Regions from separate parts of the Mus musculus genome. Here all the other regions are reported to be linked to region 6. Evidence: microRNA targets listed by miRTarBase, many of them from high-throughput screens and not tested one by one. Region 6 holds a microRNA gene; each other region holds the end of a gene's coding sequence.
Evidence for each region. The annotated mature microRNA mmu-miR-706 reads AGAGAAACCCUGUCUCAAAAAA and lies in region 6 at 2,273-2,294, opposite strand. An mRNA with a match to its seed (bases 2 to 7 or 8) in the 3' UTR can be bound and repressed. Matches are read on the target gene's strand: a 7mer-m8 pairs with bases 2 to 8, a 7mer-A1 pairs with bases 2 to 7 and ends in A, and an 8mer does both.

Region 1 (5,074 bases), not on the chromosome of region 6:
AGTTAAGATATCAGGGAAAAATGTGAAGTTTTGATTATGTTGTTTTAAAATGTGATCTTTTTAGTGCTCTGAGGTGTTTTAAAATACCTTCTCATAGTTCCTTCATCTTAAAGAGTTCTAGGAGATTTAGTGGACTTCGCCCGTGCTGATAGTCACGTATCACTTTGAACTGCTGATTTAGATTGCTTACTCATGGGCATGTGACTGGGAGCCAGGTGCAGAACACGAGAATCACCTGTAAGTCCGTGGTGTCCATTGTGGTTTCATTAAGTTCTCTTTACAATTAATTAAACCAGTAATAATGTAATAATTTGCTGTGAGGGAGGAAAAAATAGCCTTCTGCATGCTTGGAAAGCGCGCTCTTCTAACGAGCATCCTGAGACTTTGATTTGGAAGGGGTGGGGGGAGGGGCAGCTTCTTACTATGTAGCCTGGGCTAGGCTCGACCTTGGTTTTCTTGCCTCAGCTTCCCAAGTACTGGGATTACAGCTATGTGCCAATTGCTGCACCCTCTAGCATCATTTTTCAAAACTACAAAGTTTTTGTTGTTCGTTTTAGACAGGGTCTATGTAGTGCTGGATGGCCTAGAACTACAATGTAGTGCAGACTAGACTTGAGCTCAGAGGTGAGCCTACCTGTGGGAAGAAGAAAACCTTAAATGTTTCTATGAAGAAAATCTTAAGAGTAAAACAATGCAAGTAAAACCTTAAGAGTTGAGCTTTTTTTTTTATTATTTGTATAGGGAAAAAAATGTCCTATTTCACATGACTAAATTTCACCTTCAGTGAAACATTCAGTGGTCATTTCAGGCACATGAGAGAAAAATCTGAAGAAACACAAACAAATGGTGGCCTGCGAGGCAAGTTCCACCTTTCAACTGTTAGTAGACACAACCAAAGGGGGTAGAATGGGAGGAGAGCAAACAGGAAGTGTTATTATTGGAAACGCTGGTGATAATGGCAATCAATTTGCCTCCTCCCTAAAGAGTTTGTGTGTAAAATAAAAAGAGTGAAATGTCAGAAAAAGAATAAATGAAATACTGACAAACTGTAAATAGGAGGGGTCTGACAGTGAGGGTAGCTCATGCTGGCAGTGTCCAGCACCTAACTGATGGGGACGCTGGCACTGGCTGGCTCTCCATGCTGATGGGGTGTGCCCCTTTACTCTATAGCCACACAGAGCTGGGCTGCCCAGATTCACTTCCATAAGGTAGGCTTGAGGGTTGTGGAGTTGCCGGCAGGGACAGTGGCAGGGGGACCAATGATGCTATCTATACCCACTATAATACTGGTCATAAAATGTGACTGTTGTCAACTTTGAGAAATTTGGCATTTTCTGGACTATGATGTCAAGGTTGTTTTATTTAATCCAAAAAAATCTGAGCAAGACACACACATATAATTTATTAAAAACACATTAGAATCTCACTATTTTCAACAGCCTAAATTCTAGCAACATATACAAATATCAAGTGACTACAGTACATGCCGAGGTAAGAAAAATACATTCTGGGGGAATATCACTGACACTCAGCCACTTCCACTTCTTCTGTACTTGAGTAAGTTTTATTTTCACCATTCCCAGTGCCAAACACAGGAAACGAGAGAAACTACACACAAAATGGTCTAATTGAGATTGGTGCCACAGTTAACCTAGATACCCTACAACCATCCAACTTCCTAGAGTTTTTGCAGTTCAAGGACTTTCAAGTTCAACCCAAAAGGTAGAATTAACAACTCCTTTCCATACAGCGGAGCCCCGTTAGTTCTGCTCCGTAGAGGATTTGGAACCTCCCACCCCCCCATAATTTCTGGGTTCGTTCTAGTGGTCTTGTCTGTCTTTTTTCTATCTTGCTTTCCTACTCCCTTTACTGCTCTCTGGGTGACAACGTGGAGCCAAGGCATGGAAATGGCTACAAGCACTTTTACTGCTTCATCCCTGGGGGCAGGTGGAGGAGGAGCATACACAGAACACATGATAGCTGTAACTACTGGATAAATTCTGTGTGTGAACAGCAAATCAACCCACTGTTCAGTGGAAAGTGCAAATAGTGAAACATGAATTAAATAACTGGACTAGTCCTGTTACTCTCAACAGGAACTACTACGATCTATAAACAGCATTTAAAATAAATGCAAAGCAGAATTCATAATATCTGTGCTGGTTCCAAGGATCAAGTGACAGCCAAGTTAGTGTAACTTTTCTGAAATCTCCTAAGGCTGCCCTTGCCACACTGCTGTCTCTAATCAATTGTACTATCAGGAAAAGAGAAACCCACTAAGCCACAGTGACTTAAGTATTGAATATCTCAAGCAAAGAATTAAAGCAAAACAAAATAACCAAGGGGTTTGGTCAGCAATGGTTACTTTCACATTTTACTTGATTGTCTTCCAAAGATTTACCAGACATGTAATCTATAATACAAAAAATTAAAAGGAAAAGTACAAAACCAGAAAAAAAAAATCATTTGAATCAGGCTCAGCTCTTTATCTGCAAGAGAAAACCATATAACAATAACTAGGTATGTTATGAAAACCATTGGTAGAGTGCAAGGAGAGCAGTGGCCATAGGAGTCAAGTCTCACAATGTGTAACGCATCAACAACCATGGCCTCACTCTGTTCTGAAACAGTTCTGGGACACACAGTTAGAATAGTAGGCTTCTTTGGGAAAACAACTTCATCTTCAAAGGGTCTCTTAAAGCTTCCAATGGTTAGGTGACTCAAAGAAAAGGCTACCCTCTGCCCACTAAGCGTGAACGAAAATGAAACAGCTAAAGGTTTGCTTTGTTCCCACCTGAAAGAGGACAACTGCATCTTGTGCTCTACACATTCTTACATGTTTTAGTACAGCATCTGTGCTTTTTTTTGCTTCATAAGAACTTTGAAACAAAATGTGCACTGATTTTTTTCAACAAGGAGAGAGACTGTGTCCGAGACTCTGCAAGACGAAAGGCGGTTTATAATGAAAGCGATGCAAACTGTCTGAGGAGGTGGCAGAGAGCCTGCCACCAGTGCAGAGCGACGTTTTAAAACGCTGATGTACTTGTGGAAGGAAGCACAGTTAACACTGTTCAAGGCTATCCAAATCTAGACAAGTGTGGCAGGTCTACAACCAGGATGGTACAAGCTGAGAAACGGCTGGGGACCTGAAGGCCGAGTGTACTCTAAACCTACACACAGGTTTGTGGCGAGGGATCAAGTTTGTGTTTTCATCCGATGTGCTGCTTCAGTGCTAATCCGCTGTAACATTTAATTTACCCGACCTGACGTGAGTGCAGCCCGGTTGTCAAGCACTGACAAGTAAGTTGCTGGGAAGGATTCCACACAATTCCGATCGCACAGCATCTCTGTCAACCAGGTCTGACACAAAGGACCACTTAAGTGTCTCCCCAGACAGAAGGCAGAAATCACACAGACCTGGAGAACGCCTGTTGCCCGTTTTTCTTTTTGTAGTAGAGAGGATTGAACCTATGACCTTGAACTTGTTATACTGGAGCACTAAACCCCGGAGCCTGAGCTCCACCCCTTATCCCATGAGCGGCCTAGGTTAATCCTGAACTCACTCTGTAGACTATAAAGCACTGACCTTGGGGGTCCACTTGGGTCAGTTGGGATTGCTGGCTTGAGCCATCAGACCTGGCTCATGTTGGCTTTCTTTTTCTTACAATGGTTTAAAATTAAATTTAAAAATTTAATTGAAATTTAAAAAAAATTTTGCAAATTTTTGGGCTTGTGTGTAAAGAAAGCAAAGAAGGTTAAATTTTAGTTCCCCCTTAACTTTGTCCCTAAAGTAATTTACAGATTACTTTAGTGACGCAGAGGACTCCCTTTATAGCTTTTCTACATCGTAAGTTGCTTCTCTCCCAGTTCCCTGTGGAGAAGTATACTTAAAGATGGGAAGGGCTGGCTTCCCGTGACTGCTGCTGGATAGGAGCTGCCAGGGTTTATGAACACAGGTTGGAGCAAGGCCACCAAGGGTGGCAGGGATGAGCAGAGCTGAGACCAAGCCCTGTATGAGGCGGTGTCAATACTGTTAAAAGTGTCATCAAACAAGGAGTCAGTCCTCCAGCTCACCGCAAGGCAGGCTGTTCTAACTCTGCACCTTCCTAGGGAAATACAGAGAAGTGTATGTGGCCACAGCTAGAGCAATGCTTATCACTGATGGATGTGAGAAAAAAAAAAAAAAAGAATGCAGACGGCACTACAGGATTAAAGGAGAAGGGACGCGTGATAGTACCCACTTTCACAAAGGGAGAATTTCAAGCCATTCGGTATTTCAAGAACAGTACCATGCATTATTGCCAGCAAGGCTTACAGAACCACCTCAAGTTCATTAATGTACCTGCAGCATTGGTAATAAATACTCAGTGATTTTCAGTTTCTCTGAAGTGCATTATAGGGAGCTCTGTTTCTGTATTAAAAATAGTGTTTTACAGTAGTAACAAACAGGACGCTTGACATGTAGCAGGCGAGCAGTAACTGTGTCACACAGTAACCCCTTTAAAGCAAGATGGCAAGGCAAGTAGTTTCTTGTACCTCGGTCACCACATTCCCCTAACCACTTCAGTGACAGATACGTAATACATTCTACATCACTACCACTAAGAATGAAAAAAGCCATGTGCTTTAAATGGATGCCTTGTCAGAAAGCAGCACCACCGTCAAAGGATTTCTTTAAAAGCATCAAACTTCTCATCCCTTCCTGCTCCTGATAGCTCCTGGGTGCTCTGGGGCACCTGGTATACCAGTTCCTCTGGGGTAGCAGCTGACTTCCCACCTTTTGGGGTGTCATACTGAGCCTGGCCTGAGGAACAGCTGTCAGTCCTGGAGAGAAGAGTGTTGTAAGTTCCCACTAAAGCGTGAGGCTGGGTCCCTGCAGTTTTGAAGGTGGATGTGGAGGGCAGACCAACTGAGGCTGTGGGGTGCCCTGACATGTCCATGACGATCGGGGTTGCGTACTCAGGCCCCGTTACGGGCAGTGGTTCAGCATAGGCGTGGTACACTTCCTGCATTGGAGAGTTGTAAGGATCGAGGTCTGCATAGCCTGCTTCCTTCCCTTCCTCAGGTTTAAAGG
Region 2 (5,074 bases), not on the chromosome of region 6:
AAACTCTGGCTTTCAAAAAGTATAATTTAGATATCCCCAACACTTATCTAAACATCTTATTTATTTAAGATAACTGAGGTAACTTCCTGTGGTCAAATAAGACATTCATTATTATACAATATTATTTAAGTTATTGATTTTCATTATTGTTGATCTTGAGACTTTTCCATTTCCATGAGATTCTGAACTTTAAGAAAGAGGGAGGCATAGTGTGGAAAACAAAGTCACATGTAACTTTTCTGCCTTTAAGTTTTTTCTTTCTTTTGGGGTCCATGGGGGAGCAGATAGGGAGTTGTTTGGTTTTGCTTTTTGAGATAGGGTCTCCTGTAGCCCAGGCAGGTTTTTTTAACTTACTATGTAGGTGAGGTTGGCTCTGAACTCCTGATCCTCCTGTGTCCTGCCCTCGAGAGCTGGGATTATAGGCTTATGTCACCAAACCCCACTAATTGGGGAACTTTATAAAAATATCTTATTGCTATTCTTAAATTGATTCTACATCAAAAGCCAAGTCATTTTCTGGTCATGAATAATAATCATGCAAATTCTCTTTACCAATAATGTATGTATTGGCTACAGTTGTATATCAGATATATTCATTTCTTCACCTTTAAACACAACCTTGACATCAGACATCTTTGACATCATTAACATTATAATTGAGTCTTCCAGTTAGTAATGAATTTATCTCTTATTTTTTAAATAAAAAAAATCACAATAGCCATGGAGAGTGCTATTTTCACAAATTACAAGGTGTGTGTGTGTTGGTGGTGGTAATTTTCTTTTTAAACTAAAACTTGATGTTTTGGTTTGGTTCAGTTTTGGTCTCTGGACTACAGCAGGTGTGAATCTGCTGACACTAATTAAGGTTTTTCATCTTTTTTATTCCCAAATTCCCGCCACCACCATCACCACCACCCCCCGCCCCCCGCCCCTCGATCCTTTAAGGCTTTTCTAAGAAAGAAAGAAAGAAAGAAAGAAAGAAAGAAAGAAAGAAAGAAAGAAAGAGAGAGAGAGAAAGAGAGAGAGGAAGAAAGAGAAGAAAGAGAGAGAGAGAGAGAAAGAGAGAGAGAGAGAGAGGAAGGAAGGAAGGAAGGAAGGAAGGAAGGAAGGAAGGAAGGAAGGAAGGAAGAAGGATTTGCACACACATTCACAATTGAAATATCACCTTCTTCCCAACCCTCTGTAGCCAATATCAAAGCCAGACAAGCCCTCCAACAAGCCATCTTATTCCCGCGACTCTCCTCAGAGTTTCAGTGGGCCAAGAACTCACTGAGGTAGCCCAACTGTCGTGCCCAGAGCCCTTACCCATGTCCGCCAAGAGCAGGCCTTTCGGCCCTCCGGGGCGAGCGGACAGACACGGGCTGCACTCGGGACGCGTGGAGATTTCGTTGAGCTCCCAGGCCCTGTCCGTGCTGCTCCGTGCTCCAGAGTTCGGGCTCCAGAGACCGCGTAGTTCTACCTGGCGTCTGCGGGCTCCAGCCCCTGACGCGCTTTCGGCTTTGAGAGAGGTGTGACCCAAGGACGCTCCCAGGCCCCCAAAACTCCACACGGGCGACCGCGGCCCGCTGCCCCGACGGCCCGCGCGCGTTCCCGCGGCCGGAGCCTGCGCCCCGGCGCGCCCTCGGCCCTGCGCCCCGACCCAGGCCCAGGCCCAGGGGGAAGCACGTGCCCGCTCCTCCTCGAAGCCTCCTGTTGCAGGCGTGCTCGGCGGCGCGTCTGAGCGGGGACAGCCGAGGCGTCGCCGACGCTCCCACCCACACCGGCCGGCTCTACCAGGAAAGTTCGCGAACCACCGGGGCCAGTCGGGCAAACTGACAACCGCGACGAACCCGAGGCCCGCCCACAGGGTTCGTCCGAGCCGCGGCTAGGCCCAGCCTGGCGGGTCAGGGCCTCGGGGCCTCCAGACCCCGTGGAAGCGGCTGCTGCTCAGCCCCGGGACGCCTAGGGCGGGACCTGTGGGGAGGACCCGGCGGCCTCCTGAGGCCTCCGCCCGGACCTCCAGCCCCGCTTCACGCGAACGCCCGGGGCCCGCGGGCCAGGGGCCACGGCGCACGCGGCAGGGAGCAGGCCCAGAGCAGCCTTCGCGGGGGCGGCTGGCCCTGCAGGGATCCCGCGCGCCCAGGCGGCTCTCCCTCCGCCCCGGGGACTCAGTTAGGAAGCTTGGGCCGGAGCTGGGAGGCCGAACCCTAGGCCGGACACGGCGGGGACGGCTTCCCCGTGGCCAAGGCTCCAGTGCCCTGCCGACCTCCAGCCCCGCGCCAATCTCACGGACTAGAAGCAGGGGCTACCGCTGCCTCCGCGGGCAAGTTTTCGTTGTCTCCTGATTTCCTCCGGCCCGTGGGCAAAGCGCGGCTTCTGGGCTCACCTCCACAGGAGCCGTCAGAACAATCTGGACAGTTCTGGACCCCGAATTTTCTCGGGCAGCAGACGTTATTAATACACTTTCCCTCCACTTTAGTCTCCCAAGTCCCGTCCCAGTGGCCGAGCTAGGAAGAGTAGTACCTACAAGCCCTTCTGTCCCCCCAGACGGAAGGCGAGCTGCCCTCTCCATTCATGGCTGCAGGCCGGGCATCTTCTCCTCTGAGGAAGTGAAACTCGCACTGGTCAATTCGCCTTTGTCTGCTTTAACGAAACTTTACGAAAGATAGATAAATAACTGGACCATTTCTTGTGCGAACTAATGGTTTAGAAAGACTCCTTAGCACGAGGTTGGGACTTAGGATCCCACAGTCACCGTGAAGCCACCGGGAGACGCTTCTCCACTGTAGGACACAGATTTTTTTTTTTTTTTTGATCGTTTTGTTTTCCTTCTTGGCTCAGCTCAGAGAGCATTACACCCGCATCCTTTCCCGCCTCCCGACCCTCTTCCCCTCCCCCTTCTCCCCCTCTTCATTCTGGTGCTGGCAATTAGGGTGAAGAAATCAGTGCCAGGCTCCTGCCTCCGAAGAGAAAGGAGCTGTTTCTGGAATTGAGTCCTGACACCTGTCTCTGTCCTAGAAGGCAAGAAGGCGCGGGGTCAAAACATTGAAGAGGGAGAGGCCGGGCCGATGAGGGGGCACTCCCTAAAAGAACGTTTTGGGGAACTCCCCTTGCCATGACTTCCCGCCTTATTCTTCAGCCTCCAGCTTCGCGCAGATCATTAACACGCGGGTTATTAACACAGATTTCCTCCCTTTTAATCCCCTGAGACCGAGACCCGAAGCTGGAATTAGAAGAGCAACGCTGACAAGCCACTCATTAATTTGCTTTTATTTTCGGGAAATAATGTAGATAAAGAGGAAGAGGAGACGGACTGCCTTACATCTCAACAAGTAATTTGTGATCTTCACATCGGACAAATCAAATTTACAAATTACTTTCCCACCTACTGAACCAAGCGGCCAAAACCAAAACCGATAGGTACACAGGTACTCTCCGCAGATTTCGGAGAAGGAAGGTTCACTAAAAACTCACAGAACAGACAGGGTGTTTGAGAGAGAGAGAGAGAGAGAGAGAGAGAGAGAGAGAGAGAGAGAGAGAAACATTGGACCTGGAACTCGGGCTTGGTTTTCTTTCCACAATGCTGTAATTTCACCTTGTTTGTTTGTCTGTTTGTTTCTAAGCGGAAGCTTTGATACTGTGCTTAGACTGGCGAAGGGTCAGTCGTGCGCCCTGACCAGCCTAGCCCCGACCCCTGTATCCTGACTTAGCTGTTTCCTTCACTTCCGATCCTCTAGCGCCCAGCTTCCTGGAACCAAGCGGGTTTCTTTAATAAATACACAAAGGGAGGTGTGAAGAGGGCAGGACAGCTTTGTAATAACTGAAAAATAAGAACCACCATCGTTTGAGGAAGAGAGGAACGGGAACAAAGGGGAAATAATTTTTTTGCTTCTGTTATATATATATGTGTGTGTGTGCGTGTGTATATATATATATATATATGTGATGTATATATTTTAAAGTTCTGTTTCTTGGACGCTAAAACAAGAGAGATGCTCAGTTCAACCAACAGCAACTAAAAACTTTAAGTGGTCCCTGGAACGGACCTGACTATGTACAGCATTCCCGCTGAGGCGGAAGCTTGAATCAGTCCAGCGCAGGGTAGGAAAGGAGGCTGGGGCACACTCCTGCCGCGAGCCTGGCCCAACGCTCACCACTGGTGAGACAGAAATGCTGGAAGCTCGGGCCTGCGGGTGGGGAGCTAGATCAAGGGCAGCTGAAGGGGCGACAGTCTGCTAGGAGAAACAGTGGAGGGTTTGATTAGGAGTGTGTATGTATGGACACACTCCAAACGGTTGATATACGCCAGTTAGTGACTTCAGTGTCCAGAAAGAATAAATAAAACGGTTGAGCTCAAAACAGAGGGTCAGAGCGAAGAGCCCCAGAAGGCTCCAGGTGCATAAAAGCTGTCCAGAAAGACTTGAAGGGGTGACGCACGAGCTGAGAGCGAGAGCGTACTGCTATTCCGGGAAGAAACGGAGGGCCAAGTGGGAGCACCGGGCCCCACCTCCAAGGGGGAGAAGGGCTGCATCCTCCACCCCCAACCAAGTGGCACACAGATGGGAGCGGCAGTGCAGGCAATGAATATCTTTTGGGGGACTGAAAATTAAGTTTTGGAAAAGCCAAGGCAAAGGCGGGTGGTGCAGCAGCAGCAACAGGATGGGGACCATGGAGGGTATAGGTAGTTGCGTTTCTTCTCCACTTCCTTTCCCTCCTGGGCTCACAAGACCTGGAACCGCCACGAGGCTTGGTCCTTATAGTCCAGACAGTCGGGAGAGTTGAAATTGAGTTTCCAGGCAGAGGAAGCAGCGGCGGCGGCGGGCTCCTTGTAATCCAAGCAATCGGCAGAATTGAAGGCGAGCCCAGAGCCTCCATAACCTTGGTGGTGGTGGTGGTGGTGATGGTGGTGGTGGTGGCCTGAAGATTGGCTCAGTGGGTGGTGCGCATGAGGGTGATGGTGATGATGGCCAGCCATGGAGGAGGGTGCCATGGGGCTAAGCTGGTGCGGGTGGTGATGAGAGTGCATGGGCGCTAGGTAGGAGCTGCAGTCTACACCGCCAAAGTAAGAAGAGGAGGGCGCGGGGTATCCCTGACC
Region 3 (5,074 bases), not on the chromosome of region 6:
GGATGTGAGGGGATGCTGCACACATCCACAGTATACCTTTGAAGATGAGAGCACTGTTTGTCAATCAGTTCTGTTCTTCCATTGTATAAGTTTCCAAACTGGAACTCATGTGGACAGGCTTAGGTGTATGTGACTCCCAATGAAAGATTTCACTCTCATATTTACCTATTTTCCAATCCAATGAATCCAATTGATATTAATGATATGTGCATATGTGGGGCATCATTGCCAAGATTCAGACAACCTACCTACCATTTTCATACCCACAAAAAAAAAAATGAGTCTCCCTCTCCAGCATTCATCAGCTGCCAAGAACCTCTTAACTCCATGAAGTATACTATTTTATTTTTAATTTTTGAGAATTTCAATATGAGTACCATATTTGCATCATTCCCCCACAACTCTTCTTCTGCTTCTCCACTTCCTCTCAAATTCAAGACATTTTCTTCTTTATATTATGTTACTTGTACACGTACACACACACACACACACACACACGTGTGTGTGTGTGTGTGTGTGTGTGTGTGTGTGCACATGTATAGAAGCAACTTAATCTATTTACTGATGCTCATACTACATGTCACGTATAAGTTTAAGTGTGATCACTTTAGATTTAGTAACACATAAGGATGGCTCATCCCTGAAGAAAACTGATTTTCTCTATTGCTGTAGCCACTGATTGCTTGTAGCAATGTCATCTAGGGATGAATCCTTGTGAGATTTCCATATTTACACTGACATGTGTACTGATGTTATCACTATGCAGGTCTTGTTTAAGATTACTGAGAGTTTTTGACATTGTTGAGATTGTGTGGGTGCAGCCTCCCTGGCATGTCTAGAAGACTCTATCTAGGTGCAGACATCTGGTCTTCTGGATATTACCATCTTTCTTCTCCATTGTTCTTAATGTTCCCTGAATCTTAAGTGTTTTTCCTAAACAGAAAACCACTACATGTCTTATCATAAATACTCCACCTATTTAATTAGGCACAGTATAATACAGAAGCTAAAATAGGAAGACTTATAGTTTGATTTAAAGACTTAGAAATATAGACTTAGAAAATTAATATAAAGATTTAGAAGAAAGAGAGACTAGTGAAGCATAGAGGATATTGCTGTCTCCTTTGCTTGCCCCTCGGATGTAGAAATTAAGTACCTATTGCTGATGACACCATGTATTCCAAACACAGGGTCCAAAGACATCTGAGCTGGAGTTGATTTAAGTGCCTTCCCATTCATGTACCAGAACATACCATGCAAGCTTCTAAAGGAAGGAAGTGATTAGTAGTCATGTACAGTTATGATGCCTACAAATATCATCAAATGCTATCAAGGCATAATAATCCTAAGGCTGCACAGATACCTCACATAACTCTGTAGTAATCAACAGATCTCCAATTAGACTTAACATGTAATCAAAAGGGGAAATCATATGTGACATGGGAAGCCTAGCTATTTATTCAGGGCTGGTGAAGTTATGAATTTTTGGAGGGAAATCTACAACCATTGCTGTATTCATTAACATAATTCCTAAGTTCATTCTATATATTTGTCCTTATACCCACATCTAAGTGTAGTCCTCACCTCTCATTGTGAAAAGTTCTCTTTGTAACAAAGACAACGAAAACTAAGGAAAATCAGAAAAAAATGTAGATGTATGGAGCCCAGTTAAAAGGAATACATGTATAAATGACTCCCACACCTGATATTCAGAAAACATTGAGGAGTAGGAAAGCAGAAAGACTGTAGAAGACCAGAAAATAAGGGAGAGCATGTATCCTAGTAACATATCTTTGTCCATCATTTCATTTTAATCTGGCATGGCTTTATTTAAAAATAGGCATCTAGTAGCAACATTGTTATGTCTTTATATTTGCTTCACAATATTCAAGCTAGAGGAACAAGTCAGATAAGGAACAATGAAGGAATCAATTGTGAAACTGCGGGAGTCACAAACAGAACATGATTACTCTACTGTTAAGAACCCGGGTATCAGGTTATTTATTACATGTTGAAAATTTAATATATGTCATGCTGCATTATGGAAGCAAATGTAAAGAGAAATATATGACATCATTTCATTTGGAAGTAGAATGTACTTTAAAGTGTTAGTATCTATATAATGACTATATATGACTATATATAAGGAAATAATGCACTTCTTATCAAATCTTTCTTAGAAGGTGAAAAACATAGTTTTAAAAACATTAACAGCCAGGCATGGTGGTGCACACCTTTAATCCCAGCACTCGGGATGCAGAGGCAGGTGGATCTCTGAGTTCGAGGCCAGCCTGGTCTAAAAAGTGAGTTCCAGGACAGTCAGGGCTATACAGAGAAACTCTGTCTCGAAAAACGAAAAAAGGAATTAAAATATTAAGTAAAAGAAAGTTTCATAATTATTTTTCTGTTGCTGTGATAACAAAGTCTACTCATACAAAATATTTCATAAGATATGTCATAATTCTCATGGGGTGGAATACATGACCCTCATAGCCAGAAGCCTGAGAAGAGGCAGACAGGTTGGCATGGCAATGGAGCAGTTGCCAGAAGCTTATATCTGACTCTCAAGCTTGAGGCAGATAAAGGGCTGATGTGGAATAGTACTGGCTTTTGAAACCTCAAAGATTACCCCTACTGAGATATATTCCAAAAAGGACACACATTTTAATCCATCCCAAACAGTTCCACCAATCTGGGGCCAAGAATTCCAAAATGAGACTGTAGAGGAAATTTTTCAGGTACACCACCACATTCCAGTTCTTGGACCATGTAAATTTGTAGCTATATCACAGTAGAAAACACACTAAATCCAACTTGAAAAGTTCTCATAGTCTTTCACAGTACAAACACAGTTTAAAAGTCAAAAGTCTCTTATGATACTCAAGGCAATCTCTTAATTGTAACTCCTTGTCAAATAAAAAAAGCACAGTACTTGTTTCCCACATACACAGGCACAGATCGTACATTACCATCCATTCCAAAAGAGGAATGGAGACATGGTGAGGAAATACTGGGCCAAGCAAAAGGAGAAAATGAATATTTACATAACCTGCTGTATATGTTAGTTTGTTCAACTATAACAACCATTTAGCTACATGTATATCAAACATCATGCTACAATCTTTAATTTGCACTGTAAATTTTAGTTTGCAACAAAAATATGGACAGCATATTTACCTCTGACAAAAAATTTTGACTGGAGGAGAAATAAAAATTAAGAAATATAAGAGAGTGTTTTGTGTCTTGATTAGGTTTTATACCTATATTAACTTAAAATCCTGATTTTTTTTACATTAATCTGTTGATATTCTATCCTCTTAATTGAATTTATCACACACTGCAGCTTTAAAATTGAAATACTGTTTTATAGAAAACTTTACTTAACATTACATAATTAAGTTTTTAGATGCTACTCGCTCGTGAAATGGTATAAATTTAAAACAAGTTTGATATCAAGGGAACCTGTTATAGAGGACCTGATTGGAAAAATATCATGAGGAAAGAGTCAGAGAGAAGGAGAATCATGACAAAGTCAACACTCAACCATGGGAAGCTAAGTAGGACACTGTGAAAGGAAGAAAAGAGGACAGACACTCTCAACCTTTTCATGAGCATGGATATTGATGGATCACATTATTAGACTGAGCACACTCTTCCAATGCTGAAAATGGAATAGATAGTGAACTTGAAGGTGAGGAATCCACTGGGAGAATAGTGATTTAACAGACTTCTCTTGAGAATGTTTACATCTTTACTAAGAAATTTATATAAGAAAGATGATCATACATTTATTAAAACCTACAGAAATTAGTAAGTTCTGTGATTATTACTTATCTATTTAGCCCTTCATTATTGGAAAAAGTTTGTTTTAAAACAGAATTTTTTTTGCAAAGTATAACAAGGATTTAACCACTATCAAATTAAGTGAGCAAAGAAATATAACTTTTCATTGCACTTTCTTGAGTTTTCTTCTGAAGAGGGATTTGTCAATTGTGGTCAACACCTCTCCTGGACCCCATAGAGCTTATAAGGAGTCCCATCAAATGGAGTTGGTAAAGCTCTGAGCAAGATAGCTGCAAAAATACTGTACTCAGTATTTATAACAAGTTCAATATCAATCAACTTCTACAACATTGACTACTTCCCCAACTGAGTTAACCTTGGGTCATCAACTAAACAACATTATGAAAATGCCACAAAGTGATAAAAACATAGTTCTCTTCAAAGCTATTTATGCCTGATCAAAGCAGCTCTCAGTCCCTTCCAGACAGTTTTTATTTCTCTAGGTCTTCTTGAGGAACCCATCTCTCCACATTCTTCCTCCTCAGGAGAGTCTTGCATGGCTCTCTGCAGAAGAAGCTTGAGAGTCTTCCGTTGAAACCGATGGTGCCTAATGGAGCCAACAAGGAAGTAAATGATGGGGTTGGCACAGCTGTTAATACAGGACAGAAATATTGTCACGTTACGAAAACCACAAGGTTTATTATCATGAAATTCCCTAATCCACTCTAAGAGGAACCAGTAGATCCCATAGGGCAGACCAAAGATCAGGAAGACAAGCACTGTAAACACAATGGTCACATACAACCTGGTCACAGGAACCTTGTGTAAGCCACAGAAGATGGTAAGCACCAAGGCCAGACTGGATCCCAAGAGAACCACAAATAAAACAATTAACCATGCAGTAGTGATTAAATCAAATGTCTTACACAAACCAGGGCCACTAGTGTAATATAGGAAGCCACATTCCTTTCCTTCCAGGAGGCTCAACACCAGGGACAAGACCCAAAGCACAGTACATATGACAGCTGATGTGTGCCTTGGGCGTTGGCAGCGGTACCAGATGGGCCACATGACAGATAGGAAGCGTTCAGTGCTAATGACAGTGAGGATGCTCAGACCACTAAGGTAAGCAATGTTTAACACCATAGTGTAAGATGAAAAAAAATTAGTGGGGATGAAGTAGATGTCTAAGATAATATAAAAACAATGTACAATTTGAAAGCACATGAAGACAAAGTCAGCACCAGCAAGGTTGAGGATGTAGACAGAGAAGGCATTCCTGCTCATCTGG
Region 4 (5,074 bases), not on the chromosome of region 6:
AGATGGTGCAGGGCGGCGCCTTTGATGGCACCACAGAGGGGCCCTTCAACCAGGGCTATGGGGAGGGGGCCAAGGAGGGGGCCGATGAGGAAGAGTGGGTCGTGGCTAAAGACAAGCCGGTGTATGACGAACTCTTTTACACGCTGTCACCCATCAATGGCAAGATATCGGGTGTCAACGCCAAGAAGGAGATGGTGACCTCCAAGCTGCCCAACAGTGTCCTGGGCAAGATCTGGAAGCTGGCCGACTGCGACTGCGACGGCATGCTAGACGAGGAGGAGTTCGCGCTGGCCAAGCACCTCATCAAGATCAAGCTGGACGGCTACGAGCTGCCCAACAGCCTGCCCCCACACCTGGTGCCCCCCTCCCACAGGAAGTCCCTGCCAAAGGCTGACTGAGGGCCCACAGCTGGGGTGGGAGGGGTGGTGCCTGGGCCTGAAGTCTGCTCTGCCACTGACTCGCTGAATGTCCGTGGCCAAAGTTCCGTCCTCTCCGTGACTCGGTTTTCTCATATGTAGGGCAGGGAGGGCAGATCCCGGACACTAGATGAGGTCTTTATGCCTCTAAAATCCTGAAGTTTCTATCAAAATATTGAGAAGAGCAGTATATAGATATGGAGATCAAAGAATAAGAAGAAAAAAAAATTATCCAAAGAAGAATGTAGGTGTGACACAGGCTGTCGAAGTCTGGGCACTCAGGGATTGAGCCAGGGACTCACTGGAGCCATCAGAGCTGTGCTGGACAGTAAGTTACCATGAGCCTCTTTGTCCTTCAGGGGGCACTGAGAGGCAGCAAAGGACCTAATTTATTTTTCTTACTGTGTTTCCTGCTCTATCTAGAGAGGAAAAGGAACAGAACAGAGAGTTTCTGCCTTCCATAGATTAAAAACCAAAGAGAAGACTAATACCCAGGTTTGAAAGAGGATGTGCCATGTCTGTGTGGGCCCATCTGCAGTCCCCATCAGAGTAGGCAGCCAGGCAAGGAGAACCTGTCTTGTCCCAGCACCTGCTGCCTGACCCTGCCAAGCCTCCCTCAGTTAGGAATTCATAATTCACAAACTGTCAGCCCCTGGCAAGACCTGTGTGCCCTTCAACCACTGAATGTCCCCAAAGCTTTTTTGGTAGGTGGCAGAATTTAAATTCAATAAAGCTTGTCTTGATTTGTGTGGAGTCCCAGAGCCTTCGGACCCAGGTAAAGCGAGAGCAGCCCCATCCTGAGCTGTGAGTGGAAGAGACCAGCGCCCTGGTGATTGATGATGTTGTTTGATTTTTAAAGAAAGAAATGCATTTCATTGTGTCCAGGTATGTTTTTCTCACAAGATGTAGCCTCTCTGAAGAAATCTCTGTAATACCTTTTCTTCCAAGCTAGACACCTCACATCAGGAGTGCCTATCTGGGCCAGGATTGGTCTACTTCTGCCTCTTCAGTGTTCTTTCCCAAGCCCACCTAGTCAGGCGCCGCAGGGGCTGCCTCCTACTGTACCCTGCTCTGTGGCCCAGCAGAAGAACACTGTCACCATCACTTACGAAGTAGGAATCACAGCGCAGCAGTGACCACATGACCAACAGCAGCAGAAATGAATGAATCTGAACAGCATCCCTGAATCTTCACAAAAACATACTCCAATCCCTAATTGTCTGCATCTGGCAACCTCAGGGTCAGAACCGGGGATTTAAGAGAAAATGCTAAGAGCTCACACCCATTTCGCAGCACTTGGGAGGCAGATGCAGGGGGATTACCATGAGTTCGAAGCCAGTCTGAACTACATCGTTTGTTTTATGGTAGTCTGTGTAAAACAGAATACTTACGCCACCATTCACACTTCCTATCTTACTTTCTAAATAATGGTTTTAAGAGAAACACAGTGTTTGCTTTACTCTGAAAGCGTGTTTTTATTAATTGGACACACACAGGTGAATGTTTGATCCCGGGGCTGTAACTGTATTTGTGTCAGTGTCCATGGAGAGGTGATGCCTGGGAGGTCTTGACTTTCCTCCTAGTTGTCTTCTGCTTTCTCTGCACAGTTGTCATATATCTACCTAAATATAATCACAAATGTATGTCTCGTGAGTCTGTCTCTAAAATGCGTCCGTATGTTCAATGTAGATATGGCCAAGTCACTTCTGTACAGAGCCTCAGAGGAGGCCTTTCTAGGGACAGCAGGCTAAGATTTCTGGGATCTGCCTTCCCACTCCTCTCCACCTTCTGCTGGGAGATGCCTAGCAGCTAAGCTTGCTCTGACCTGGTGATGTTCTTGAACAAAAAGAAACCATGGGTCTACTTTTGTTACATTCTCTTGTTCTTCATAATAACTTTACCAGAAGGAAAAAACAGAAATGGTGATAAAAATAAAAGATTGTGTCTTCTCAGGACCAATGCACAGTTCCTAGACTGTTCAAATACTCCTCCCACCTCACACATACATTCACTCTGTATTGCCCCATCCTCATGTCGGTTTTCTGTGTCAGAGAAATGCTAGACAGAATTCAGTTTCAAGGAGGGAAAGTTTAAATTGGCCAATAGTCTGAGGTTATTCAGTGCAGAGGTCAGCTGTGAGCTGGGGATGAGGCAGAACACCATAGCAGCAGGAGCACACGGCAGAGGAGGTGGTTGCCTCTTGGCAGCCAATAGCAGAACCCAGGACGGGGTCTTTAAAGGTGCACCTCAGTGACCTGCTTTCCTGTCTTCACCTTCATCTGTGGATAAATTCAGAACCCTTATGATCCCATCACCTCTCTACTGACCACGCCTTCAGACGTTTCATATGTAGCCCACCATAATGTATCATCCTGGTTTTCAAAGAAGCCACCTCAGAGTGTTTACACACTGGGGAAACACACACCTACTTGTGCTCTCCCTGGTTCTAAAGAGCCTATTTGTAACTACCACACACATTGGATCACAAGACCCTCTGCAGGTGAGGGGAAGTAAGTGCTTCCGCTGGGTCCTGCCATCGTCACCTCCCAGTGAAGCCCTGCTGAGCCCAAGGAGAAAGAAACTGCACTTGGGCTTGTTGAGGGTTATGTAGGCAGATGGCCAGGTAACCTACCGGCAGGACCCCAAAACAGCCTGAGTCTATTCAAGTCATCCCTGGTTCAAGAGTGTATCAGGCACATAGTATTTAGCAATGTAAATCACACAATGCCTCTATCCTTTAAAATCTCATTTAAAAGTGTCAATCCCCACTGCCACTAGCTTCTTGTAACTGTGTCCACTTTTTAAGAGGTAAGTGGTCCCTTGGGTCCATTTTCAAAGGAGATGCAAGAGTCTAGAGAGGTATACCTCTTCTCCATGCCATCCCTTGTGACCCTAATTCCTCCCTCATCCTCTCTGGGAAAGAGGTCTCGTACTCCACTCGAGAGGTCAAAAGCCCACACTGAAGGACTGTGAGTAGTACTTGGGGAGGGGGGGTGCACCTCAAGGTCCTGTGCCTCTCAGGTGTATACCACCTGCAGAAGGTGTTGGGCTTTTCCTCTGTCACCCATGTACCCTTGTGAAGATGCCAGCCTGGACTGTCATTTAGCACAACATATTTTTTTTATTATCATCCAGAGGCATGAGGTTAGGGTAGAATAGACTCCTCCCCTCTTTCCTGGATGGATCCAGATTAGTTTAAGCCAATTGGAGTATTTCATTCCCCCTAGTCACAGATACCAGTTCAAAAATACATGTGTTTTCCTCATCCCATTTTCAACAGGTACCACCCCAGCACTTAGGAAGATGTTCCACATAGTCCCTCTGGGCTGGCAGAGAGGAGGTATTGAACGAGGCATAGGAAACCCAGATCTGCAGTAACAATGTTTGGGATGCTGGAGCAAACAGCACCTGAAGTCCTGTTCCTGCTAGATTGTTTTCAGTTACGGCCAGTTCACCCATCTGTATGTATCATTCAGTCCAGCTCAAACAGAAAGTTCAGTCTCTTGGCAAGGATTTCAAAGACCAATTGACCTTTTCACCAAGGGCTTCGTCACTCACTGCCAATGAGGAGCTGCCCCTTGTACAATATGCATTGGCTCTAGTTGCTGCTGAGCCAGGGGAGGGGGCATGGGAAGGAGAGCAGTCCTCTAATCCTGTCCAACAATATCTTATTTAAAGATTGATTGTACTTTATGTGTACAAGTGCTTGTCTGGTGTGTGTTCACTGCCTGACTATCTGGTGCCTTCGGAAACCAGAAGAGGGCACCAGATCTACTGGAACTGGAGTTGCAGATGGCTGTAAGCCTCCTGTGGTGCTAGAAACAGAATCCAGATCCTCTGGAAGAGCAGCCAGTGCCCTTGACCACAGTCCCATTTCTCCAACCCCACATCTAACAACCAAACAGTCACCTCTGCTTAAACCTACCAACAAAGCATGGTACAGTTCTGTCTGACCTCAGATCTCACAAACCTGGAGGAGCTGAGGCCAGAGCCCCTCAAACCCAGAAGGCTTTCCCGATGAAGCTTTCCCTTACAGATGAGACTGGGCACCTTCAGGGTGCTATGGCTGAAGACAAGGCTTTCCCTGCAAAACAGGAACTGGGCCTGGAAGACTGTAGCATTTCTTCTAGAATATTCCTTAGAGCTGATCAAAGTCTGGGGCATCAGGCAGCCCATGCAGAGGGCTTGTGCTGCAGTCAGGAAGAGCGAGCACCTGCCCCGGTGGTTACCTATAACTAACTGAACTTGGGTCCCAGTCTCTGAGATGGTTGTGTGTGAATGTCTGAAGACTGGGGTGAGGGTGGGGGAGCCTACAGCACCTCAAGGAAGTGTCCCTGTGGCCAAGGCTTTTGAGAGAAGAGGTCAAGACTACTGACAGGAAGCCTGTGGGAAGGGGTTGTTGCTCATAGAGGAGCTATGAGCAGGAGCTGCTTCCCTGGGTACCTTCTGCCACAATAAATCTGTCATTGGCTTCTCAATACTTAGCTAAGCTGAGCTTGTGGCCCAGATCTATTCAAGACCTGGGAATCTAAGCCCAAGACACTACAGCTTCCTGTGGCTATTCCTAGTTAGAGAGAGGCTGTCAGACGGCTCCTTCAATCATCCTAGGATGGGTGTGGAAGAGAAAGGGAGTCTACAGCTTTTAGCCAGAAATCCTG
Region 5 (5,074 bases), not on the chromosome of region 6:
TCCAAGGACTTTGCCTAAGCAAGCAGGTCTCCCTTAGATCCTGGCTCATAACATCTGCTTCCCCCACATCCCACTGTCATTGAGTCCTGTAGGTGACCAGCTCATGGGGACCTTTAGGTAAGCTGTTAACAGGAGCATGAATGGCCACAGGGCTTGTCAGCTTGGTCCTCAGTCTTATGGCCTAAGGCTCTAGCTGGCACTGGGCACCTCACCTTCTGACAGCTGGATTTCTGGGACTGGTGTGAGCTATCTAGGGTCCTCACCTGCCAGAGCCAGAACTCTGCCTTGAGGCCTGAGCTTTTAGAGTGGGGGAGGGAAAGGACTGCTTTGCCTCTGTCCAGACAAAGCTGAGTCCCAGCTGGGTCTCCTGACAACCTCTCTTTGTATCCACAGGAGCTATGGGGAGCTCACTTACTGCACCAAGCACGTGGCGCACACGATTGGCTGTTTCTGGCCCAATCCGGAAGTGGACAGATTCTTCATCGCTGTCCACCATCGATACTTCAGCAAGTGCCCCATCTCGGGCAGGGCCCTGCGGGACCCTCCCAACAGCATCCTCTGCCCTTTCATTGCGCTCCCCATTACGGTCACGCTGCTCATGACTGCACTGGTGGTCTGGAGGAGCAAGCGCACAGAGGGCATCGTGTAGGTATCCCAGGTGATGAGGGATTGGGGAACCATGGGCCTAGCCCAGCAACAGCATCAGGAGCAGGTCCCACCTTGCATCCTGCTCTAGCCTAGTTAGCACAGGACTTGAGAGTGGCTCTGCATTAAGCTGAATATGCCCTAGCCAGAGGCTTCTAGCAGGGGAGCAGGGGCCTGCCTCTGCTTACCTCTGAGATTGTTCTAAGCACCAGGTCTCTGGTACACTTCATCACCACTGTGGGCATTCTGAACTCCAAGGAAGACTGCACAGATGTGTTTGTAGATGCACAGTTTGTGATTAAAAGAGTATTCTTAAACCTGGGAAGTGTTCTGTCTGGGTACAAATAACCTATACAGGAAATCAAGCCACTCGTGGAGATCTGTCTTTTGCTGAGGAGTTTATCGCAGGGTCTCTAACCAGATGACACCCAGTCAAAGATCCCCTGAGTTTGTTGAGGGGTTCCCAAATGATTCTGATGCCCTTGGCCTCTACTGCATGGTCCCTGCTTTCTTTTTGCCTTTCTTGGGTTTTTTGAGACAGGGTTTCTCCATGTAGCTCTGGCTGTCCTGGAACCTGCTCTGTAAACCAAACTGGACTTGGACTCAGAGATCCTCCTGCCTCTGTCTCTCAGGTGTGCACCACCACTGACTGGCACAGCCCCTGCTCTTAGTACTTGGAAATAGTCATGAATTAACAACTAGCGAGAGAGAATGCCTACCGTGAGCCAGAAGCTTCGGCTGAGTAGCACGTGAAGAGGGTGCTGTCTCTGTGTCCCTTCCCTAAAGGTCACCCTGTCTTCTCTGAGAAACCCTAGTGCATAGGACAAGTGAAGGCCAAGAGGTGCCAGGGATGTGACCTCCTCCTCCACTCAGCACTGTCCCTTCTGTCCCTGGGAAGCCATGGACAGTAGTGACAGCATTAATCTGAAAAATAGGGTTGAGCTATGGCAGCGTGTGCCTGGAATCAAAGCACTTTGGGGTGTTGAGGTAGAAGGATTGCTGTGAGTTTGACGTCAACCTGGGATTTATAAGCCTGTTTATAAAAAAAAGAAAATGAGGGGGAAGGGTGGGGAAGAATGAAGAAGAGACAGAGGAAAAATGCAAAAGAAAATAAGACTGGGCTCATTTGTGACCTGAACTGGAGACCAGAGACCAGCCTGCCTTCCCGGACTTTGACATGGAAATCCAAAGGATGGGAAAACAAGACATGCATAAGTCACAGAATCCAAAAGCTGCAAGAGAACCAGGGAGCTGACTTGGGAGATGAAGCTGACCCAGTGCCTCGTTCCCGGAACTGCGCATACTAACAAGTTCTCAGGGTTTCCAGTAAACCAAGAAGGCTGGGGTTTGAGGTCATCTGCAGAGCGTGGCCATCCTGTGCTCAGCTAAGCAGGGGGACAGGCAAGGGAGCAGTGAGCCCAAGACCCCTCACACATGACCCCTCTCACAGGATGACTGCTTGTACACCAGCCTTCCAGGGAAGCCTGGTCCGCTGGGAGTGGATCTCCATCCATTCCTCAAAAATGAGCATTAGCGGTATCCTCCTGAAAACAAGTCAGAAGTGTGGAGCAGAAGTCTTGAGTGTCTGTTTGCAGTCATTTCTCTTGTAGGAACTCATCCCAAGTACATAATTACCATGTGCACAAGGGCCCGTGGGGACCAGGAGCGGAAGAGAGGAGACACCCTCGATGGTCCAACTGGAGGACTGCTCCATCAGATTAACTCCAGATGATGGAAGGCAATGGTTTCCTTAATGGCGTCCTTGGGGGTGGGGGGGGGGGGTTCCCAGTGTGTGCAGTTCATTGAAAATGCAGATTTTAAAACAGGAAATCAAGGTGACCTTTATGCTGTGTTTGTTTACACACAAAGTTCCTTTCCCCAGGCCACATTATATTGGGGGGACGTCCTGTAATAGGGCTCTCAGAAGACAGAACAACACTCTCAGTTCTGCATCTGGCTGCCACCGTCCCAGCGGATGGGCATCACTTCCCGGTGAAGGGTGATATGGTCAGACCCCAACTGGCTGTTCTAGCTGTGTGTACTTGAACAACTAATTCAGCTCTGGTAGCCATGGGGGAGATGACCTGGCATATGCAAGCCCTCTGCCTTATCCCAAGGATGGTGTTTGATCTCCTGAAAGACCAAGTGGCCAGTCAGAGGAGCCTCATCCTTAGGGCAAGGCAGGAAGCATGTTCCCAAGGAAAAACTAGCAGTGACCCTCTCCCTCTTTCCCACCTCAAGGCAGGGCTGCTTTGTGTAGCCCTGGCTATCCTGGAACTATCACACACACACACACACACACACACACACACACACACACACACTTTTTTTCTCAAGATAGGGTTTCTTAGTCCTGACTGTCCTAGAACTAGCTCTGTGGACTAGGCTGGCCTTGAGCTCACAGAGAGATCTGCCTGCCTCTGTCTCCTGCATGTGAAACACATTTAAAAAAAATTCAGAACTTATGTGTTTATGTGTTTGAGCATTTGGCCTACACATATGTATGTGCACCATAGGCCATTGGAGGTCAGAGTAGGTATCAGATGTTACAGATGGCTGGGAGCTGCCATGTGGGTGCTGGGAACTTAACCCAGGTTCTCTGCAGGAGCAGTGAGAGTGTTTAACTGAGCCATCTCTCTAGCTCGGAGAAGCTTTTCTTGGGGGGTTCACCTGTGTGGTGAACATAAGAAGACCTGCAGCCCATCATTTTTAAAACTATTCAAAACAGCAAATTCCTTATGGGACTAAGCCTAGACGGGCTAAGGGGTTGCCGACTTTACTCTGTCTATTCACACGTTAGAGACAGAAAGTTCCGGAGACAGGCAGCTCGAAAAGTGATCACTCTTCTTGAACCCACACCAGCCACACTTCGTGCCTAGCCACCCACCGTGCAGGACTTTCTCCAACACGCTGTCAAGAGTCTGGGGAAACTTGTTCTCCGGTCACCCCTGGCGTTAGGGCAGGAAGTGGGCAGGGTAGCTGGATGTCAAGGGCAGGTGGCAACTACTGTTCGTGTTCAGTACAGGCTGTTATGATCATGTCTGCATTCTACACATGCCCATCCCATCTAAGGCACAGAGACACGTGGAACTCCATGTTTAAAAGGGAGAACAAGGAGATGGCTCAGTTAGTCAAGTGTCATGCAGGCGTAGAGACCTCAGTTCAAACCCCTGATTCCATAATAAAAACAAAACAAAACACAAAGAGGCTGGGAGGTGCCCACTGGTAATCCCTGTGCAGGAAAGAAAGAGACAGGTGACTCTCTTGGGCTCACTGGCCAGTGAGCCAACCCAAACCAATGAGACTTCCATGTGCATATCTGTGGCGTGTACAAAGGCTTCTAGCAAACAGCCTGGATCGAATCAGACGCCAGCTGCAGTGAGGAGGCAAGCCAATCAAATCAGAGGCCAGCTCACCAGGGGAGAAGCAAACCAATCAAATCAGAGGCCAGCTCACTTCTGCCAGTGGGACAGCAAACCAGTGGCTCCCTGCCCCTTGGTTTCCTACCTACCAAGGGATGACTATGGGCCTTACTTCAGTATTTGCAAGGAGAGCCCTTGACTTGCCCCAGCACTTCACAAACGTTCTGTTCACTTTGGCCACAGGGACTCAACTAGGCACAGGGACCTGTGAATGGACAACTGCAACTGTGACTGACAATGCCCCACGACCACCATACACGCACACACACAAACACACACACACACACACACACACACACACACACACACACACACACTTCTGCCTCTCGATATGTCCTTTTCTGTTATCCACAGGCTAAGCGGTGAGTGGCTAGAGAACACTTACTGGCGGTAACAGTAGGAACTACCAAGTGGACACTTTCTTCCCTTCTGCATAAGACCGGAAACACTCCCTGGAGCTGCATCACCTCACAGGCCCCAGCTTGGGAGAAACTTGCTTTCTCTCAGTTCTCCAGGCTGGAAGCCTGACCTCCAGGTGTCAGAAGGCTTGGCTCTCCCTCTCTGGGCTTGCAGATTCCAGTCATGGGTTAGGGCCCACCCAGTGACATTGCCTGGCCATAATTACCTCTTTAAAGACCCTCCCTTTAAGTGGGGATCTGAGATCCTGGGACTTAGGGTCTCAGCATATGAATTTGGGTTGGGGAGTAGGGGGGCGGACAATTTACCCATGGCAAAACCCTGTCTCCCCAACGGCCAGCTGGCTCACTGCAGCCAGTTAAATCGGTTATGGGCCGGTGTCACAAATCTCCATGAAAACTAGGGGTAAACAACTCTGGCCAGAAGTGCTGCAGAGACATCATTGCAAGAGGGAACAAAAACCTGCTTCTCATCAAAGCCCATCAGCACACATTCTTGTTGGGAAACGCCAGGCTCAATTAGGAAGGCGGGTGGTGGGGAGGGTCTCCGGGGAGACTCCTCGGAAAATTCCAGAACCCGTCTTCCTGGCT
Region 6 (5,074 bases):
TGTAAAGACTGTGGTATCAAAATATTACCTATTTATTATTGAAAACAATTTGGTAGATAGCTACACATACTGTGACTCTAAAAATAACCTAACAATAGGAAGTTTAATTTGTACACCCCACGCATTCATCCTCCAAAGTCTAGATCCCCATATGAAGTGATAAAAATTAAATTTGTCATTTATTAGAGAACTTTAGAAATCCTGACAGCCACTTCTACACAGAATTAGTATAACTTCATTTGAAATTAGTATTACTAATTAGCTATCTACTGAGACTACAAATGTAGTTTGGGGTTTTGTTTTTGTTTTTGTTTTATTTGATCAGTTGTTTTTAGGTTTCTCTGTGTAGTCTTGGATTTTCTGGAAACTCACTATGTAGACCAGGCTGGCTTCAAATTCAAAAGATCAGCCTGTGACTGCCTCCCAAGTGCTGGAACTAAAGGCATGTACCACGACAGCCTGGCCTTTCTAAAAAACAAAAATTTAAATTCTTCTTGATTCTTCAGAGTGTTAACATGTATACACAAATATATCCACCACCATTTCTCCCCTCCAAGTCCTTTTATATGCCCCCAACACATACTCCTCAACTCTTTGACTCTTTAAAAATAGCCTACTAAATCCAATTTGTTGTTGCATGGATTTGTGACTGCCCATGAGAAACCTACCAGTTGGGAACAACATGATAAAAGATAATGATTCTCCCTCTCAGAGAAGCTACAACTGCCAAAGACTCCTTAAGATGGGATAGGCCCTGAAGAGCATATCTATGCCAGAAATTTGGCTGGCAAGTTTTATTTTAGTAACCACAGTTGTTTCCTTTACCTTTTCTGGACTGAACCCAGAACTTTGTAGCTATTAAACAAATATTCTAACACTGCACTAAAGTACTCTACCATTGAACTGTATCCCCAGCTCTCTTCTCTTTCTGACTCTAGTTTTGAGTTAAGGTCTCATTTTGTTGTTCAGGCTGACCTAAAATTTACTCTGTAGCCTAGACAGGCCTTGAACCTGTGATCTTACTGTTTCAGCCTCATTGAATAACTAAAATTATAGGCCTCTGCTACCAGGTCTAATTTGTAATTGCCTTCAATACCTTCCAAATTGCTATATCATAACTATTTTAATGTTTGTAATTTCTTAACCAAAGCTAAATTACTTAATGCCCTATGATTTCAGGTCCTTATTTAACAAACAAGTAGGTGGGAGAGATAGCCTGATTTTATCCAATTTTGCATCTATTTATGTAGGTACACATGTGCCACAGCAAGAGTGCAGGGGTCAGAAAACAACTTTCACAAGTTGGCTCTCTCCTTCCACAATGTGGGTGCTATATTGAACATCAGGCTTAGTGGCAGGGGTCCTTACCTAATGAGCTATTATTTCCCAAAACCCTTCTAGTTTTAATACACTAAAAATTTTAAAGCTAAGCATGGTAGTACATGCTTAAAATCACACTGCTAGGGAGATAATGTCAAAGGGGTACTTTTTTTCCTTTTCTTTTCAAAGCTTTACTTATCCTTAGGTTTGACCTTTAATTTGAACCCAAATATTTTGATCTAAAACAAAATGATATGGGCTGGAATGATATGGCTCAGCAGTTAAGAACACTGACAGCTCTTTCCAGAAGTCCTGAGTTCAATTCCCAACAACCACATGGTGGCTCACAACCATCTGTAATGGGATCTGATGCCCTCTTCTGGTGTGTCTGAAGACAGAAACAGTGCACTCATACACATAAAATAAATAAGTCTTTAAAAATAAATAAATAAAAATAAAAAGTAAAAGCACACATTTATAAAAAGCCACATGGTGGCTCACAACCATCTGTAATGAAATCTGACACCCTCTTCTGGAGTGTCTGAAGACAGCAACAGTGTACTTATATATAATAAATAAATAAATCTTAAATAAATAGATAATTAAATAAAACAAATGTAATTGAAGAATTGAATTCCTGGATCAGTAATAGATCCTTGGTACAAAAATTCCTATAAATCAGTTTCATCTAAATTATTGAGTATGACTGCCCAGTAGGAGGAGAGGCATATTTTGACAAGTTTACCAAACAAACAAACAAACAAACAATGAAGGTAAGTTTGTCTGGCATGGTCCTGTAATACCAATACTCCAAAAGCTACAGCAGAAGAATCATGGATTCAAGGCCAGCTTGGAGTACACAATGAGTCTTCACAATATAGGGTAAGGGAAAAAAAAAGCCATCTCAAAAAACAAAATAAACCTACTAAAAGTAATTTTGTTTGTTTTTTTGTTTTTTGAGACAGGGTTTCTCTGTATAGCCCTGGCTGTCCTGGAACTCACTCTGTAGACCAGGCTGGCCTAGAACTCAGAAATCCACCTGCCTCTGCTTCCCAAGTGCTGGGATTAAAGGCGTGTGCCACCACACCCGGCTAAAAGTAATTTTTAAAAAATACCTGTCACGGCCAGGCAGTGGTGGCACACGCCTTTAATTCCAGCACTTGGGAGGCAGAGGCAGGCGGATTTCTGAGTTCGAGGCCAGCCTGGTCTACAGAGTGAGTTCCAGGACAGCCAGGCTATACAGAGAAACCCTGTTTTGAAAAAAACCAAAATATTAAATAAATAAATAAATAAATAAATAAATATTTGTCACATTTCCAACTCTTATCAGTTATAAAATTAACAAGGGGTAATTTTTTTTTTGGTTATTTTACTTCATTAATGTGCTTAGAAGTTCCATTTTAAGTGTTGAACTCAAGGAATTATGTTCAAGAACTTGCCAGTTTCATGTTTGCTTCCACATGCTGAGTTAACGTTCTTTCACATTTTTAAAATAAAAACAAAACGAACACTCATTTCCAATGGTGAAAATAAATTTCAAGCATATAGAGAAGTGGAAGAGAAAGCTTAATCGACTATCTTTAAGTGAACAATCATATGCTGATAATTGTTGAAGCTGGGTAATTGCTCACCTTCACTAGATATTTAGAAGCAAACTCCATTTTTTTTTTTTTCTGAGACAGGGTTTCTCTGTATAATCCTGGCTGTCCTAGAACTCACTTTGTAGACCAGGCTGGCCTCCAACTCAGAAATCCGCCTGCCTCTGCCTCCCGAGTGTCGGGATTAAAGGCATGCACCACCACATAGAAGCAAATTCCAAACATTATTCCTTTCACATTTCAAATGACCTTGGGACATTTGGAAACCAAGCTGTTTATTAATTCTTGGGTAAATCAAGTTCTGAGATTATTTCAGTTACTTTCCAATCCTATTTCAGTTTGGTCCATTTTCTTGACAAGAAATCAGTAGTGGCACTTTCATCTATGATGTAGCTGAAATTCTGCTTCCACCACAAATACATGCTCATTTCTGGATGTGAACAAGTGCTAACAAACCAATATTTATATAGATGCTTTATAATAACATTTATTTATCGCTATAATATATATTATATTATATTATATTATATTATATTATTTATATAAATATAAATTTATATAATAAATATAATAACATTTATTTATTGCTATAATTCAAGCAATTAGTAGTCCAAACTAATCTAGCATATACCTGCACTTTATTTATAACCTGAAAATTTCCCTGAGATTAAAAAAAAAAAGGAAGGAAGGAAGAAAGCACTGTAATCCCTCGGACTCTTGGGAAGTTTCATTTAAAAATCTTTTATATCCCTGGCATAGTGGCATTAACTTATAATTCTAATACTCTGGAGGCTGAGGCAGAGGGATCAACAAATTCAGGACAGTCTGGGCTATACTTTGGGACACTCACAAAAAGTCTTTTATAAGATATTACAACAATGATGGTATTATCACAACTTTCAAAGCACTTATACAATTTTGCATGGACTTTTACTATTCACTATGGACTGAATAGGATGAAGACAGACTAATGAACAGTGTCAGATCACAGCTAGCCATAAGGCTTAAGCACCTGTAGGTGGTTATATTGGTAGGTATATACTGTACCTTCCTACTCTGAAAGCACTTAAAGGGAAAGAGAGTTGGGAATCAGGGACTGGGTGGTTGTTTTGATGGTGGTGCAAGACTTTAATCCCAGCACTTGGGAGGCAGAGGCAGGTGAATTTCTGAGTTCGAGGCCAGCCTGGTCTACAGAATGAGTTCCAGGACAGCCAGGGCTATACAAAATCCTGTCTCGAAAAAACCAAAACAAAACAAAACAAAAAAGACAGTGTCTCACTACCCAGGCCAGACTGGCCTTGAACTTGAGGCTCTCCTGCCTCGACCAATAGAGTAAGTAGTTGGGATTTCCAGGCATGCCTTTATTAGCTACTATGCTATGATATTCTGCTATCAAGAAAGTTGTTCCTTAAAAGTACAGGGTCTTGTCTAACAATCAGATTTTAGAGATGGAAACACACAAGGCAGTTCATTATTGCAGAGGCTTAGAAGAGAATGAAGTGTACAGGAAAAAAAGGTTTGATATTTACTTAAAGCAAAAGAAAAAAAAAAAATTCCCAAAGGCTGAGGATATATTTAGCTCAGTGGGAAAGCACTTGTCCAGGCCCCACTTCTTCGATCCCCAACACGAAGGGAAACCCTTTTCCAATAATTCCATGTCTCCTGCCTGACATTAAACACACAAGTTTGTACTTAAATGACTCTTTTTACCCCTGGCTGATAACAATCCTTCTTGACACCAATAGTTCCTATCTTTTCCAAACACCTAACTAACTACAAGCTCCACAATCTCCCAATTTCAACCTCTTTGGACACTAGTCTTCCCGCCCTCTCAGAGTCAGAGAATTACAAGTAAAGAGTGAACTCGACAAACTGGCTTAACAGAGCCAAATTTGGGATCCAAACGACCGAATAAGAAAAAAGGGGGTGGGGCATTACCTGCAATTCACACCAGGCGACTTCCACAGTGGTTTCGGTGTCCAGACCTTTGTAGACTGTCTTAAAGGAGCCTCTGCCGATTTCGATGTCAAATTTGAGAAAGCGACCGTCATTGGACATTCCCACTGCCTTGGTCTCCAGCTCTTCGATATCATCCTGTTGCTGGCTCCTATCCTCCTGCGCCTCTTTGGCGCTGGCGCCACCACTGCCACTTCCAC

Region 1: miRTarBase lists Dcbld2 as a target of mmu-miR-706. Seed matches in the 3' UTR shown: 7mer-A1 at 4,169-4,175, 8mer at 3,129-3,136, 7mer-m8 at 2,267-2,273, 7mer-m8 at 1,603-1,609 and 7mer-A1 at 1,317-1,323.
Region 2: miRTarBase lists Otx1 as a target of mmu-miR-706. Seed matches in the 3' UTR shown: 7mer-m8 at 4,219-4,225 and 7mer-m8 at 3,516-3,522.
Region 3: the mRNA of Mrgprb1 is a reported target of mmu-miR-706. Seed matches in the 3' UTR shown: 7mer-m8 at 2,333-2,339.
Region 4: the mRNA of Ehd4 is a reported target of mmu-miR-706. Seed matches in the 3' UTR shown: 7mer-A1 at 505-511 and 7mer-A1 at 1,309-1,315.
Region 5: miRTarBase lists Ramp1 as a target of mmu-miR-706. Seed matches in the 3' UTR shown: 7mer-m8 at 1,188-1,194.

Annotation. Positions count from the first base shown.
Region 1 is chr16:58,465,377-58,470,450 of GRCm38, reverse strand. Dcbld2 (discoidin, CUB and LCCL domain containing 2) reads right to left here. Exons shown (of 16, transcript NM_028523.3): 16 at 706-5,074. The coding sequence ends at 4,662. St3gal6 (ST3 beta-galactoside alpha-2,3-sialyltransferase 6) reads left to right here. Exons shown (of 11, transcript NM_018784.3): 11 at 1-709. Among named protein-coding and RNA genes, the nearest start is that of Gm33475, 8.0 kb to the left of the region's middle.
Region 2 is chr11:21,991,541-21,996,614 of GRCm38, forward strand. It overlaps Otx1 (orthodenticle homeobox 1), which reads right to left. Exons shown (of 5, transcript NM_011023.3): 5 at 3,224-5,074. The coding sequence ends at 4,700. Among named protein-coding and RNA genes, the nearest start is that of Gm32517, 4.4 kb to the right of the region's middle.
Region 3 is chr7:48,442,883-48,447,956 of GRCm38, forward strand. It overlaps Mrgprb1 (MAS-related GPR, member B1), which reads right to left. Exons shown (of 2, transcript NM_205810.4): 2 at 1,231-5,074. The coding sequence ends at 4,228. Among named protein-coding and RNA genes, the nearest start is that of Mrgprb1, 11 kb to the right of the region's middle.
Region 4 is chr2:120,086,472-120,091,545 of GRCm38, reverse strand. Ehd4 (EH-domain containing 4) reads left to right here. Exons shown (of 6, transcript NM_133838.4): 6 at 1-2,059. The coding sequence ends at 398. Sptbn5 (spectrin beta, non-erythrocytic 5) reads left to right here and starts at 2,633. Exons shown (of 67, transcript NM_001370938.1): 1 at 2,633-5,074.
Region 5 is chr1:91,222,713-91,227,786 of GRCm38, forward strand. Ramp1 (receptor (calcitonin) activity modifying protein 1) reads left to right here. Exons shown (of 3, transcript NM_016894.3): 3 at 394-2,484. The coding sequence ends at 649. Among named protein-coding and RNA genes, the nearest start is that of Ube2f, 25 kb to the right of the region's middle.
Region 6 is chr6:120,032,018-120,037,091 of GRCm38, forward strand. It overlaps Mir706 (microRNA 706), which reads right to left and starts at 2,294; the gene lies at 2,211-2,294. It overlaps Wnk1 (WNK lysine deficient protein kinase 1), which reads right to left. Exons shown (of 28, transcript NM_001199084.1): 1 at 4,857-5,074.